Arabidopsis thaliana: one gene and its partner. The protein of the gene in region 1 interacts with the protein of each later gene in a pairwise test. Each region holds a gene or a part of one and is shown on either strand. Other genes may lie near its edges.

Region 1 (6,586 bases):
AGAGAAAGGAATCTGGTGACAGTAGCCAAAAAGTTCCATCATCGTCATCTTCAGTAAGTGAATACCGATTTTTGACACTAACCGTCACACCAGCCGCTCTCAAAGATGGTAGACTTGTAAGTTAAAACAACTCTCTAGGAGGAGTTTTGTTCCCTTGGTTTTGGTTATCATCAATGCTTTATGAAAGTTCACTTAGTTAGTGTAAGCTTATATTCTCCTTTGTTTGCAGCGTGTTCCAATCAAATTCATTAAGGGTAACCGAATGGAAAACCTAGGAATGAAGAAGATAACTCTGTTGGACAAGCATGGAGTAGAGTGGCCAGTGAATTTAGTCATGTACAAGGGAAATACACAGACGCGATTCGGTTCAGGGTTGAAAGAGTTTTTCAAGGCTAATGGCATCGAGGCATGCAAATCTTTTGTGTTGGAGTTGGTTTGAGAAGACAAAACAACTCTTCCTATGCTCAAGTTCTGCTCCAAGGCCAAGAATTGACTCTAATTTGCATCCAACTTGTTCACAAGTATAATCTTTTATATTGAATTCATCACCTATGTGGTATGAATCTAATGTAGTTATGAACTTTTTAGGTAAGAGTCAATGCGTCTATTTAAGTCAACAAAATATTTACCTACTTATGGGTCTAAATGAGTCTGTCACATGAATGGCAAACAATATGGCAATTCACGAACATTTAAATTCTACGTATAATCACCCTTTATTACCATAGAAGTCATTGTGTAATAGTATCTACATCACTATTGTAACTTTGTAAGCTAAAAAGCTCTGCTGATTTTCAAATGTTGTAACATACCACATCACTGAGCGTCGATCATCTTGGTGTCCATATCTCTCACCGGAGGTTTGGATTTTGTACAGACCAATGGAGTTGAAGTTGTAGGGTCTGACCAAGAATCGGCAGCCTGATATTTTACCTCTGGATCTTTGTTCCCATTTGCTACATCCTCTTGATGATCTGTTGCAGAGTCATCAATCGAAGAGTTGGACTCGGAATCCAATGTATCAATCCTTTCAACCTCACTACAACATTCAGAGGCCAATACTGATGGTGATGGTGATGGCGATGGTGATGGTGATGGTGATGGCGATGGTGATGGTGATTGCTCGCATACAGGGTCTTCAATGGTCGCATGGGTGCTGCTTCTGCTTTCAATAGCTCCTACCATTGAACTCTCAACTAACTCTTTTACGCAAGATTCTGTGTCCAATGTGTCTGTTTTCTTCTCGTCTTTAACTTCTGATCTAAGACATGAAGATGACGACCGAGCTTGAATCCTGCATGACAACAGAGAAACATAAGAAACTCACAAGCTCAACAACATTAGTCTGTTTATATTTTTCATCATATACAATCAATTTACGCAACTCTTAATGATGAAGTAAACACCCTCAATCTTGTGGTTATAGATTAGATTTACACGGAGAGCTGAACAACAAAAGACAGGAGGAAATAACAGCTTACCTGCTGTAGAGGAGCATATAAGCTCTTTGAGAAAGGACATCTTCTAATTCAACACTTTCTATCTGAGAGTATTTTCGATTACGGTTAGAGATTGCTCAACATTTATGGAATCATCACAATTTCATGCTAACAAGAAGAGCGGAAAGTAAATGAGTGTTACCTCGGAATCATCTATTCTATACCAGTTTCCGCAAAAATCCTTAATGTAGCATATGTAATGGCCGAAGAATGATGCATTCAGCATATCTAAATGGACAATCACTGCATAGAGTTTATATACATCTGATCCATCTCCGCCTTCACTCATGTAAGGATTAAGATCCAATGTCTCGGGAAAACTTATTCTTTTGTTCAATTTTCCGTATCTTCCTCCCTGTACATAATAATTTCACAGATGTATTTTAAAGACAACTTCTTCCAAGAAGAATCTAGCAAAAGGTAGGGGAATGCCACAAATACCTGATATCTTTTTAAGGCAATAGTAAGAATATTTGGAGCGCGTCGAATCGTAAGACGCTTACATGCTTTTACATAGTCACTACACCTGGACAGAAAGAATAGTATCGGGTTTAAGAAACTTAGTCAATTTGTCAACTAATCAACTAACACATTGCTTAAGAAACATAGCTTTTATACCTATCACATTTGTACATATTATCTCCATGAAGCCACTCTTCGGCTGTAAATTGATCAAGACATTCCTCCAAAGACCCCGCATCCCCATGCATCTCAACGATTAGATCCATCATATTTTCATATTGGTCAGAAACATGATTGCAAACAGTACATTGAACCTGGAAATTTGAAAATGCAGCAAATCAGGGAAAAAGCTCCACACACAGAGGAACATTAGAAGTTAATGTAAGTTTATCACAGGAAGGATCTTGATCGTTTTTATCAACTGAAATCAAGTTACATATATTCTCAATGGAGGCAGCCAGCTAAAGACAAAATAAGTAGCATGTTGAATTCTAACATGTATATGTATAACATGGAATTTCGTAAGATCCCAATAATTCTAGAGAGTGGAATTTCATCTATTGCTCGCTTGCCTTAATAGATGGACATCTGATATTTAGATCAGGAAATATCACCTGTGATTGAAGGAGACCTCCAAATATATACTGAATAAGTGTTGTTTCTTGTGAACGAGGAGGCACTATTTTTTCTCCACCGAATTCATCAAGGCAAACAGACTGCATCATATCAATCGCATACCTGCAGTATGTGAGTTGTATAAATCCATCAGTTGGGAGATTCACAGACTAAACACCACTAGGAATTAGCTATTTTCATGAGCAAGAGATACTGACCTCATGAACTCATGAGCATCCTCCTGTCTTCCATATCCAAGAGTTCCACCAATATTAGTTAACCGTGAAATAATGTTCATTGGTGAAAAAGGGAACCGACTTTGACTCGCTCTCTCAACATGGGTTTGAAATTCACAGAGGAAGCACCAATCGTTGCGCATACCTGTCAAACAAAACGTAGAATCAAAGCTAAAGCGAATACAGAAAACCACAAACGAAAGAGTTTGAAGCATTAGTGCAAAAATGAAAAGAAAGAAGTTTTACATTCTCTCTTGTGGCCTTTCTCCAGCAGATATGCAACAAGAGGACGTGTCCAGGAAAGGCATTGTAGAATCACATTGGCGAAACAACTGAAAGAGGAGTAAAGAAGATCATATTCAAGGGAGAAAAAAAAAATCCATTCCTTCAACTGATACTGTTAAGATATACTAGAAAGTAGATGAACACAAACCTATTTCCACAATTCATGAGCCCACAGGGAGCCAATTCTGGATTGTCCCAGTTAAAATATTCAACAAATTCTTCATATGGAAAAAGAACCTGCAGAAGATGCAAAACAAAAGTACAAGTTAACACAAAGACTCTATCAAGAGAGTGTCAACATGAGGAAAAAGAAGACACATTACTTCTCTTGGCTTGAGACTACTCTTGTTTTGGCCCCGTTCGGAAATCAGTGCAATACTAGACGCAGAACTATCCCCGAATGGAGAAGCTCTGAACCTTAAGCCATTCTTTGCAGATGGTGTTAATGTAGTAATCCCATAATCCCTGCAGTTTCTTTGATGACCCGAACTCCAATCTGACCTTTGGCACTCTGCTGAGCTGATAGCAAACAGACCATTCAGACAAAGATACTCAATTTCGAAAATATGCACTAAAACCAATTTTATTTTTTTGGGTAACAATGTGAAAAATTTATACCATTTTCGAATTTGTGAGAGAAGTTACAAAGAAAACAAGTAGCTGAACAAAGAAATCTACAGAAAATAAAGAAACAACATCACAGCTCAAACATCAATTGAACACTAGCGAAAACTCGGAGCAAAGCCGCGGGAAGAAACACCAAGATAATCCAAACTATCTGAGCTCATACAAATTAAGTTCACAAAAGTATCTAAGCAACAACTTCCAAACCCATGATTCTTCTATTGAAAAGCTCAAGACTTTGAAAATTGAAAAGAATTACACATCGCAAGCTCAAAGCAAGCAAACTAAATCAATCTTTCAATTACGCTAAGCTCGAGATGATCCCAACAAAGAGACTGAATTTGAGGGCATACCAGTATCGAACGGATTTGCAGCGGGAGCATTTCTTGGTGGAAAAATTCCCACAGACAGAGCAATCCTCAGCATCAACCGCCATGAAGTCCCTGTCGAAACCTCCGGCGGCGGCGGCTCCGATGTCGAAGTACTTAGCGGCGGTGTTTTTGAGAAAGTAAAAAACACCAACGGCGAGGAAAAATAGAGTCGCTATAAGGCGAGTGAAGACAGAGAGATCCAACGGAAAACCAACCTCATGCATCTAATTCGCTTCTCAAAATCATCGATCTCTTCTCCCTTCTCGTGTCTTCTGTATCTTTTATATATTTCAAGTATTCACCTTTTTTTTTTCTTTGTCTGTTCAAGAATTACCGCTTCGTTGATTTTTGTTACTTAGTAGAGAAGACAGTGTTCTATGTTGTTGGGTTTGGGCCTTTCCAATGCAATTACAAAGATTGGGCCTTTATATGCTTTTTTGTTTTCCTTTTTCAACTACGTTTTTTGTCGTTACCTTGTAATAATTCCTTTTTTTGGCTATGATTACTTTTCTTTTCCTTAATAAAACTATATTGGTTACGACAAAAAAAAAAAAAAAACTACTGTATATTGGTTTTGTATTGTTTTTGGCTATGGCTTGTTGCAGCAGATAAAGTCATTTTTTGTTTACCATTTCAATGCAGTGATGCAGATAAGGAAAAAAAAAAAACCATTTTAAGTTGTTATCACTTATCAGATACTAATTAATAAATATTATGGAAATACGACATTAGTCCGCCAACAGAGAACAAGAACATTATAAACTTTACGATTAATTAACAAAATGAAAAAAGGGAAAATAAAACAACTACATCTTAAACAAAGTCATATAATAAAAACAGAGGTTACAAGAGTCTTCAGTTTCACATTTAAACTTGATTATTACTTGAAGATGTTATCTTCTCCTCTCTCTGTGCCAAATTCAAATTGTTAGAAATTTGAACAAAACCAAAACCGAAACTAAAAGATTGTTATAAGAATGATAATATTACAGATTACAGATCATACCTAACTTAACTTGTTGATTTCCTGCAATGAATCTTCTAATTTCTGTTCCATTGTTTCAAGCTCTGCTTGGAACCGTCTGATACTAGTTAAAGTATCTACAACGCTCTCTTTCACCTTAGCCACGTGATCTGTGACAGAGCAAGCTTGCGTTTTCTGTAAGTTTCCTTGTTTACCACTGGATTTGTTAGATGCTCGAGACGGTTCTCCTTTTTCAGCTGTCTTCTCCCTTTTCTCAAGCTCCGGTCCCATTTTAGTTGCTCGAGAAGGTTCTCCCTTATCTGTTTCCTGGCTCCCATTATGGACTCGAGCTCTCTTGTGTCTCCTATCCTCTGCTTCGAATGAGGGTTGCTCTATCTGAAAACAAGTCGTTGTTTGATTTAGCAAAACCTAAAACGTGGACTGCAAGCTATTTGAAATACTGACCTTGGAGAAGAACTTGAATAAAGGACTTAAGCCTCCTCGAATCAACTCCAAAGTTAGTGACTCCCCTGCGCCTACTTCATTTGCGGCACAGAAACTTTTCCAGTCATTACCACCAAATATATGCATCCCTCCTCTATTATCAACCTGAAGCTTCATCGACCATTCAACTCTGTCTTTGTCCACCAGAATTATCTCCCCCGGATGTATGAGTCCATTCCCTTTCGTGAAACTTACCGGTAGATGCTGCAAAAGTATTCAGAATTAAAAAGACACTGCACTGAAGAAACCAGAGATAGAGGTTTCGAAAAGTCACCTGTTTGCCAATCTCAAGGCTGTTTAGTGTAGGAGTTAACTTCACAAACCGACTTTCTCCGATGCGGCTACAGAGCTGAAACACGGGCGTTTTCGCATTTTGCAGCAGTTTGAATGTGCAAGAATCTCCACCTTTTAATTTATTTTCGCTGCAGAGACTTTTCCAACCTCCAACAATAAAAACCTGACCAGACATTCTACTCCTTACTTCTGATTCCCATGACTTTCCTTCTTCATTCATCAATACTATCTCATGCATTCCTTTGTCTAAACCGTTTCGTTTTGCGAAATCCCTGGGCAGAGTCTGCATCAGTCATCAAATTGCATTGGGACTTATATACACTCACACAGATTTGAACTATAAATAAACATAACAACACCAAAGAAACCGTTAATCTGACTAACCACAAGATCATTTGATATGTTTGAGTGCGTTACGGATTGGCTAAAACAATTCAGATCTGCTGAAGACTGATCATATTCTTTTTGCAAATTCTCCTCAACTTCTCTCTCGGATATTTCTGAATCAGAAATTGAAACGTTTCAAGAATAGAAAAGAGTCTAAATAAATGTAAATGTGGTCACTGAATGATGATTCAATCATACCAACTTCACCACTCTCTTCGCCTTCTTCATGGCTGATAGACTGTGGGTATTGGATCTCACAGCAACTAGGTCCCAAAGCAGTGACATGGAACACCATGTCTCCTTCGTGTCTAAAGACAACGAAGTCGCGGATACGAAGATCATGTG
Region 2 (8,163 bases), on another chromosome or scaffold:
TTTGCTGAAACATATGTTATGGAGAATGTACCTTATGCCGTTTGGTAAGATGATCTCTTCTTGCTTTTCTAAACCTCTGCCAAATCCAAAAATTACAGAAAAACATTTCAAGTTTGTGAAGATGATAACAAACCCAAAAAACGCATTCAAGAACAAATAAACTATGAGCTCAAGTCTTTGATTGTATTATCAAATCCCTAATTGCTAACATTCACTTAAATTTTCCATCTTTAGTTCTTAACAAGAGAATAATTCGAAGTCTTGATGAGTAAGAGTAACCTTGTGTTATCCTCTTCCTGAAACACATCGAGTCGTGACTTCTTCATCTGCTCGGAGACAACACCGAAAGCTAAAAACCCAGCCCAGGTAAACCCGGCGCCGATTCCGAACCGTCGCGTCACCGGAGAAGTAATCCAATCCGTCAATTGCTGCTCCTGCAATGTGACCACCGCCGTTGGTTGTGGATTCTCCGTGAATGTGACGCTTAGCGACTGCGATAGAAGACTCTGTTTCGGATGTTGGGATGGAGAGACGAAACGGTGGTGAGAAGGAACCGTCGCAGTGAAGAGAGTCGCCATTGTCAAAGATTTTTCGTAAAAGCAAAGTTTTTTAAAATATTATATTATTTTGATTCATATATCCCAATAATAAAGATCAGCCTTATCTTGTTCGTGTGATGAATAAAGACAGAGCTCAATGATTTTTTTTAATATATGTTTTCGGTCAACGTTTCGACGAGTTTGTCAATTGTTTTTTCTTTCTCTCTTTGTACAGTTTCAATATTGGAAAACAAAATAGAGGAAATTACGCATGAACATGAACATCGCTTGCAAGCAAAGACAACAAAACACACGAGCACAATCCTTCACCTTCTTCAATCGTCATCTTCCATGAATCTTTCTTTTTCACAATTCACAAGCTGTGTCAAACACTGAAGCTGAGGCAAAAAGTAGCAGAGAAGGAACATTTGTAGCTTTTTTTTCCTTCAAACAGATTGAATTCGTCAAAAATGTGTTTGCCACTTTGGTCGTCTTCTTCTGTTATCAATCCTTTTGTTCATGTTCAGTTGGTAATGAAGAGGAACTGGGGACTGGTCTTGGGATGTTGGAACCTGTTACAGGTTTCTGTAGCCGCTTTAGAGACGCCATTATCTCTGCAAAACTTGGCCTTAACTTTGAATCCCTGATAAACACACACAAAGCCATTACATGTGTTAACTGAGACATGGTCAAGTGAAATGATGTTGTTTAAGCACTGCTACTTCATATTGTGGCTGAAACATTGAAAAATAATCTATACTCACGTCTGCCAGCATTTACTGATGAGATCTGCAATTGCTGGATCTACAAAGTCGGGAATGTCAAGACGTCGATGCTGAAACCCAACTGCCCCAACTACTTGCATCGGGTTCATCTTTCCCCACGGTTGTTGTAACGTAAAGAGTTCCCATAAGATCACACCGTAGCTGTAAACATCGCACCTGTTTCACGTATTGTTTTTTCCTGACATTAGGCCTGCTTCTGACAAAAGGGAACAAAATGAATATCTAGTAGCAAAAGATCTAAGAGCATACTTCTCATCAGCAGGTTCGTTTCTTAGCACTTCTGGAGCCATCCATTCAGCCTTTATAAGACCAACACATAATTAGATTAACGAACTGGCAATTACAATAACTGTAAAAAGAGATGATTAAGACAGGGGAGACTATAACTTGCTTCTTACCGTCCCTGCTGTTGACTTTGAAGAGAGGTATGTACTGTGTTTCATCCTAGACAATCCAAAATCACACACCTGATATATATGAAAATCCAGTATTTGTTATGTAAACTTATAGCTGTTACATACGATATAACATTATCCACTTGGTAAGAAACAATAAATTTTATGGAGAGAATCTGACCTTCACGACCCAGTTTTTGTCAACTAGAAGGTTTGGGGACTTAAGATCGCGATGGACAATCATCGGATTACAGCTGTGCAAATAGTTCATTCCACGAGCCTGAATACAAGTAATATGTTACCTCAACACTCTACTGAAAGAATCAAGAAGTTACAAACAGGTGATATAGTAAGAGAAGAAAAGACTAATACAGCATCAAGGGCCATTCTCAGGCGCCTCCTCTCGTCTAATTGGTTATTTGGCCGGTGGATTAACCTATACAAGCTACCTCTGCACAAGTTTGGAAAAAAATATTATAATGTAAAGATCCAAAAACGAAGCACAACCGGATTGAACCTGTTCAAACCATCCAGATTTTAGAACTTAAAGCAAATACTTGAACAACACTCATTGATGCAAAGAAGATTTTGGCATTTAGAGGTCACAAAATAGATAAAAACAGAGGCATGCGCATCATGAATAAGGAGATGGAAATCGTTGTAGCCATGAGAATCATATCAAAGTAACTGAATCTTGCAAAGATCATAGTATTACCTAGGAAGAAACTCTGTAACAATTGAAAGATTCGGTGGGCGAGTCACAGCTCCCATGAAGAGAACAATGTTGGGATGTCTTAGCTTTTTCATGATTCGGACCTTGTATCACAAGAATATATAAGAAGGGTTTGATATAGAACTAATCAACATGGAAAATCAGGTAAAAGAAAAGATTAGAAGAAAGGCTCGTACCTCACTTCTGAATTCCTCCAATGCTTCTCCTGTTAAATCTTGATCAAGGAACTTCTTGACAGCCACTTCCTAAAGTTCAAGAGTTTCGACGATATGGAACTCAAACTAAGGAATTTCTAAACTCTTTTTTCATCGAGTTCAAATTCACAGTATAAATTGGAAAAGCAAATATAATACTCACAGTCCCGTGCCAATCTCCCCGATACACTTCTCCATAAGATCCTGTATCAAAAGAAGTAAAGTAGTTAATTATTTGAAGATGTAGTTACACCAAAGCAGATAACAGATGATGATAAGTCAGGTACCAAGTCCAATACGTTCTCCCACAGTAATTTCTTCCCACAAAATCTCACAGTCAGATACATCATCACAGTCTGACTTAGAACTTTCATTGCCAATAGATTTGTCAGATATTCTTTCCCCTCCTGAATTTGGCCCATGATTAGAGTCCCCACTACCTTGAGGCTCATGCCCACCAGAACCATCATCCCCGTCGCTATTCGAGCCTAATTCAAGTTGCCTGGACACGGCTGCAGCTGTTGCCACAACTGCAGCAGCAGTGGCCGTGGCAGCAGCTGCAGCAGGAAGTTCTATGGGGGAGGAGTCTGAGTTTGCAGACTTGGCAGCAGCAGCAGCAACCATGGAAGATGCAACAACAGCAGCTGCAGCTACAGCAGCAGGGACGGTTCTGGCATATTCTGTCGAAGATGCTTCAGAATGTGAAGAATCAGACTGACTTACAACTTTGCCATTATCACGTTGATCATGTGCATTTGTTTTAGATTGCACTCTTGGTAATGGAGGCAAAAACCTCACTGGACCAAAACCGTTTTGGTGTCTTCCTTCCTGAGTTGTCTCTAAATCTTTTCCTCTCTCTTTCTTGGCTTCAGTCGAGTTTTTGCTTTCAACAGTTGCCTCCAATTGCTGGGGATAGACTTCGGAAAATAAATTGGGAGGAGCTACAACTCCGCTTTCAAGTAATACATCATGAAGCTTCTGAGCTAACCGTGGATTCTCTTTAGCAGCATCAATCATATATTGTGAAACATCTTTGACTTTCATCCTTTGTGCAGCTGGGGAGCTAACCCCTTCAGTCCAAGAAGGTGATCTCATATGGGTGAAAGAATGAATAGGCCTGCTAGACAGATTTTGAAATGGAGCCTTTTCAACTTTCTTCTGATTTTTCACATCTTCTCTAGAAATATTTGGATGAACAATGAGATCGCCTCCACCTCCGGATTGGTTTCTCTCCCCAGAACTCTTGGTACTAGAACGATGTTCCCCTGTTCGAAACTCTGTATTCTCTTCATATGAGCTTTCAATACCATTGCTGGAAGAAGCTACATGAATTGAATCATTGTCTCCAGGACTAGCGGAATAGGCAGATTCATCATAGTCTATTTGTAGTCCAGCTGCATCAGCTGGAATAAGCGTGCCGGGATCTCCCATAAGATCAACAATGTACTCCCTGAAATTCACAATTGAATAGCATATAACAAAGTTTCTTTCTTTAAGCCTCAATATTAGCTTCAGGAGGTGCAGATTAGATAACAATATACATGAATGATAGACAAATATTGAATCTACACATTAATGTGATGATTACCTGCCATCATCAGCCTTAATAAAGTTCATTGCCACATCTTCAGAACCGGTATATTGCTGACCTTTGACTATTCGACAAGGAACACCAACACTATCACACAATACCTACAAAGTTTCATATAAAGAAAGAACCATAAGAAATGAAATAAACTTAAAAGTGCTGAGATTCAGAAGAAAAAGTGCATACTTTGAATAACAAGGCTCGGTGACGAGCCAAACCAATAGTCAGAGAACCAAGTGGCAAAACCATGCTTCCAAGAGTTGCTTTCAAACTATAGCTAAGACTCCTCCAAGCTCTCAACATGCTCTCTGGGTGCACGACTGGTCCACCCATGTAATCTCCCACTAAAATAGCCAGTTTCCTTACCAATTCACTATTCACAAAACCAGAGGAAGAAACTGATCTTGATTTAGCAGCAATATCAAGAGCCATCTGTTCAAGTCTCAACAGATTAGAATCCCCACTTCTGTTCACAAGAACAGCTTCCCATGTCACACCGTCTGAAACAGGTGTCCCTTGAAGATCGAGCAAAGGAGGTATTCTTTCTGCTGAGGATGCATTCAACACTCCATACAAGTCATAAAAACCATCCAAGATCTTGTCATCATAGCCAAGACAATTGTAATTCTGTGAATGCAACAATACCAAAATGAAATGAGTTCTTGGGAGTAACTAAAGAGTTTCTGTTATGCAGAGAAAACAATTGAATCAAAAGCTTACCCAGTAGCGATAAGCGATGAGTTCAGCTGGAGAGTTCTCAGGAGCACAAGAGCCTAAACTGAATTGCTTAATAGCCTCAATCTGAGTAGCCTCAGGATCTTCTCTAGCACTTAACTCTAAAGCCAACTGTATCTGATTCTCTTCTTCAACAGCTGGATCTTTGGAACCTAAATCCACATGTTCTGACCCATTAACAACAACAGTGTCATCAACCGTGGCGGCTCTGTTCTTGGCATTGAAAGAATTAGGAGGACTAGGGATTTTTCTATGACCAACAGAACTTAACCAATTAGATAAACCAGAAAAAGGTTTGATTTCAGGGCTATTGCTGTGATGAGACCTCGGTGATGATGATGATGATACATCGATAGACTTATGATGATTGCTCTTAGTTGTTGAAATTGATCCTTCAGCTTCATCTGATTGATTGGGCGAGATATGAAGTTTCTTAAGAAAGTTCTTCATGTTCATCTTCATACTCCAAATGCTAGAACAATGATCAACAGGTCTTAAAACCACTCCATCTCCCAAATTCTTCAAAGTTTCTTCTTTTACTTTCATAAACCCTAATTCCTCCCCGGAATTTAAATCAAAAGTTTGAAACTTTCACCGGAATTCACGAAGACCAATCAAAAAGAACAAAGATTTCAACTTTATTGGACTTCAAAAGGCAAAAACTTGAGACAGCAAAATTTGTAGAGAGCTTGAGCTCAAAACACACAGAATTTTTTTTTTTTTTTTGATAAATCACCAAAATGGTTAAAAGCACACACCCACTCAAATGCAGAATTTAAAGAAAAAAAGCATATGACTGACAATTTTCTCCGTACTGATATGAACCGCTAATTCTCCTCCTTCAACCAACTTGAATATGTATCTCTCTATCTATCTCTGACGCCACTTTCTCTGTCTAAAAAGTTGGACAAAGAAAGAAGTGGAGAGAGTGGCTCTTCTCTAGAAGAAAATTAAAGTTTGCATTTTTGATAATTGAGGAGGAGAGTTACTTACTGTGACATGCAAAACAAAACAGAACAAGAAAAAAGGCGTATCTTTTTCACTAAGCTTAGTGCGTGAACTTGAAAAGATGATGACGAAACATAATTAAATTGCACCAAGACAGACTTAACGTCAATTGAGGCATTTAAAACGGTTACTTTTTGTTTCTATAAACAGCATAGAATCTACATCAATTTATTCATTACTATGTCAAAAAAGAAAATTCTGAGAAAACTGTGAGATACATTTTTTGTCCTTAATTCACTAATATATAAATAAAAATACTTACGGGAATGTTTTCTTTAAAATTTTGCATTAGAACAATAAAAAAACTATCCAAAGTGGTTTAAAGCAATTTCTTTGATTCATTTTAAACGCTAGCAACCGCAAACTCAACATTTGCATATGGTAGTAGGAGAACCAATCAAGTTCTAAATCAATTTTCATTTTTCGATCAAATATATCAAAAGTCTTTTTGGTCATATAATTAAAACTGTATTTTTATTTTTTTTAATAAATAGTATAGCGTTTCGATCTTTTATACTTGTATCTCTTTTGGGAATAAAAGAAGAATAGCAATTGTCACGGCAATTAAGGACCATTAACTTTTTATATTTTGAGAATGACTAGAAATAGCTTAAGGTGTCAATTCTAAAGAAAAGACAAATGAGAATTTAACTGAATATTCACTTGAAAAGCACGTGGTTAATTGTATATTGCAGTGTCCGGTGAATCTTACTAAGATAGAGCTCAATTAATTAACGAGTTAGATAATTAGTACTCCGTTATCTTGCTTTTGATGAAACTCTATTTTCGTGAAGAGACACCGTTATCTCTTCGATCATTCAACATATCTATCACTATATACATATGTAATTAATTAGTTTATATAGTGGTTACGACTTACAACTTACAATAGAGATAGCTATGTATGTCATATATGCACAAAATATATGAGTTTATTATAGTATATGATTAATGTCAAAATATGGACAACCACACGTATGCATGTATGATTTATGTAATAGGTAATCATTGTATCTTCTTTGAACTTATTAAATGGTGTGAGCTATGAGCCAATAGTTGACCAACACGAATATTTATGATTTTTCCAGTGATCAACTCTATAGTGTCCACACGATTGTGAGGTTCAGAAACCATCAGGTAATTTTTTTTTAATGTATCATTAATTAAGGTAACTCTTTATGTGTCTTGGAAATTGTTTTCCACCATAGAAGATGATTATTTGTTGAAATAATTTATACGTAATTTTTTTTAAAAATTAAACTTTACATTTTAATTTTTATATACTGGAATGATAAATACGGTAAAAAACAAAAATATACTATTACCGTGGTTTTCATATTCATCCCCCCCCCCATTCGACTTAAATATGTTATCTACTTTTCCAACTATGACACTTCTCAAAAATCTATTTTATAGTATAAAGGATCTGTATTCCATAAAATAAAACAAGAAAAAAGGAAAACGATTGGAGGTTTTAAGTGCTCAAGGGTAGTTGGCTAACAATTCAATTTTGGGCGGCTTGAGATTTGTCCGAAAACATAAGAAAAGATTTTTGATTTGGAATAAATCTTATAGTAACATTAAAACATACAAAAAAAAAAAAAAAAGTAAATGGGGCTTGAGTTTTGTCCGAAAACATAAGAAAATATTTTTGATTTGGTATAAATCTTAGTAACATTTAAACAAACAAAAAAAGAAGAAGTGAATGGAGAGTTTCTATTTACTACACGTTATGTTTGGTTTAAGCCAATAAAAAAAAGCGTTTACGTAACCATAAAACATAGCGTGTGTGATTTTGCTCAGAAAAGAAGAGTTTAATAGGCCAAAGCAGCAAGATTAAAAGTTAAAAGTTAAAACCGTAAAAGAACATTCGTTTCTCCCGGGAGGTTTGACTAATTTGACTGTACCACGTGAAATGGACGCGCGAATGATAATGCGTCTAGTGACGCATGCCACGTCATAGTTATCCTATCAGAAAGCAAAACAAAAAAAACAATCTTTCAGTTTTTGTTTTTATGTCGTAAAAAGAATTTGGTGCATTCCAATTGGTGACAGCCACACATTTTTTTTGGTGCTGGGACCACTTCCCCACCTATCACTTTTCTCCTCTATCTCATACTCCTCCTTCGTTAAATCATTGAAAAAAATCTTGCTAATGTGTTTTAATTAGTTTAAGTTTCTATATC

What was found.
Region 2: the proteins of UBP18 (region 1) and AT1G73660 interact in a two-hybrid assay, tested with the Arabidopsis thaliana proteins (one study listed by BioGRID).

The regions. Positions count from the first base shown.
Region 1 is NC_003075.7:15,335,191-15,341,776, forward strand, and holds UBP18 (ubiquitin-specific protease 18), read right to left. Parts: upstream 4,424-6,586; 5' UTR 4,317-4,423; coding exon 4,075-4,316; intron 3,617-4,074; coding exon 3,421-3,616; intron 3,335-3,420; coding exon 3,246-3,334; intron 3,145-3,245; coding exon 3,059-3,144; intron 2,958-3,058; coding exon 2,795-2,957; intron 2,700-2,794; coding exon 2,576-2,699; intron 2,276-2,575; coding exon 2,118-2,275; intron 2,026-2,117; coding exon 1,941-2,025; intron 1,855-1,940; coding exon 1,642-1,854; intron 1,544-1,641; coding exon 1,482-1,543; intron 1,295-1,481; coding exon 817-1,294; 3' UTR 553-816; downstream 1-552. Other genes in the region: AT4G31680 (Transcriptional factor B3 family protein), read right to left, coding at 5,099-5,452, 5,522-5,764, 5,835-6,137, 6,239-6,354, 6,440-6,586.
Region 2 is NC_003070.9:27,691,204-27,699,366, forward strand, and holds AT1G73660 (protein tyrosine kinase family protein), read right to left. Parts: upstream 6,170-8,163; 5' UTR 5,516-6,169; coding exon 4,955-5,515; intron 4,862-4,954; coding exon 4,421-4,861; intron 4,339-4,420; coding exon 4,235-4,338; intron 4,097-4,234; coding exon 2,934-4,096; intron 2,851-2,933; coding exon 2,810-2,850; intron 2,698-2,809; coding exon 2,629-2,697; intron 2,536-2,628; coding exon 2,435-2,535; intron 2,171-2,434; coding exon 2,092-2,170; intron 2,000-2,091; coding exon 1,901-1,999; intron 1,792-1,900; coding exon 1,723-1,791; intron 1,624-1,722; coding exon 1,574-1,623; intron 1,481-1,573; coding exon 1,304-1,480; intron 1,183-1,303; coding exon 1,044-1,182; 3' UTR 690-1,043; downstream 1-689. Other genes in the region: AT1G73655 (FKBP-like peptidyl-prolyl cis-trans isomerase family protein), read right to left, coding at 32-76, 280-578. UniProt on the Arabidopsis thaliana protein: Acts as a negative regulator of salt tolerance. Mediates sugar response during early seedling development.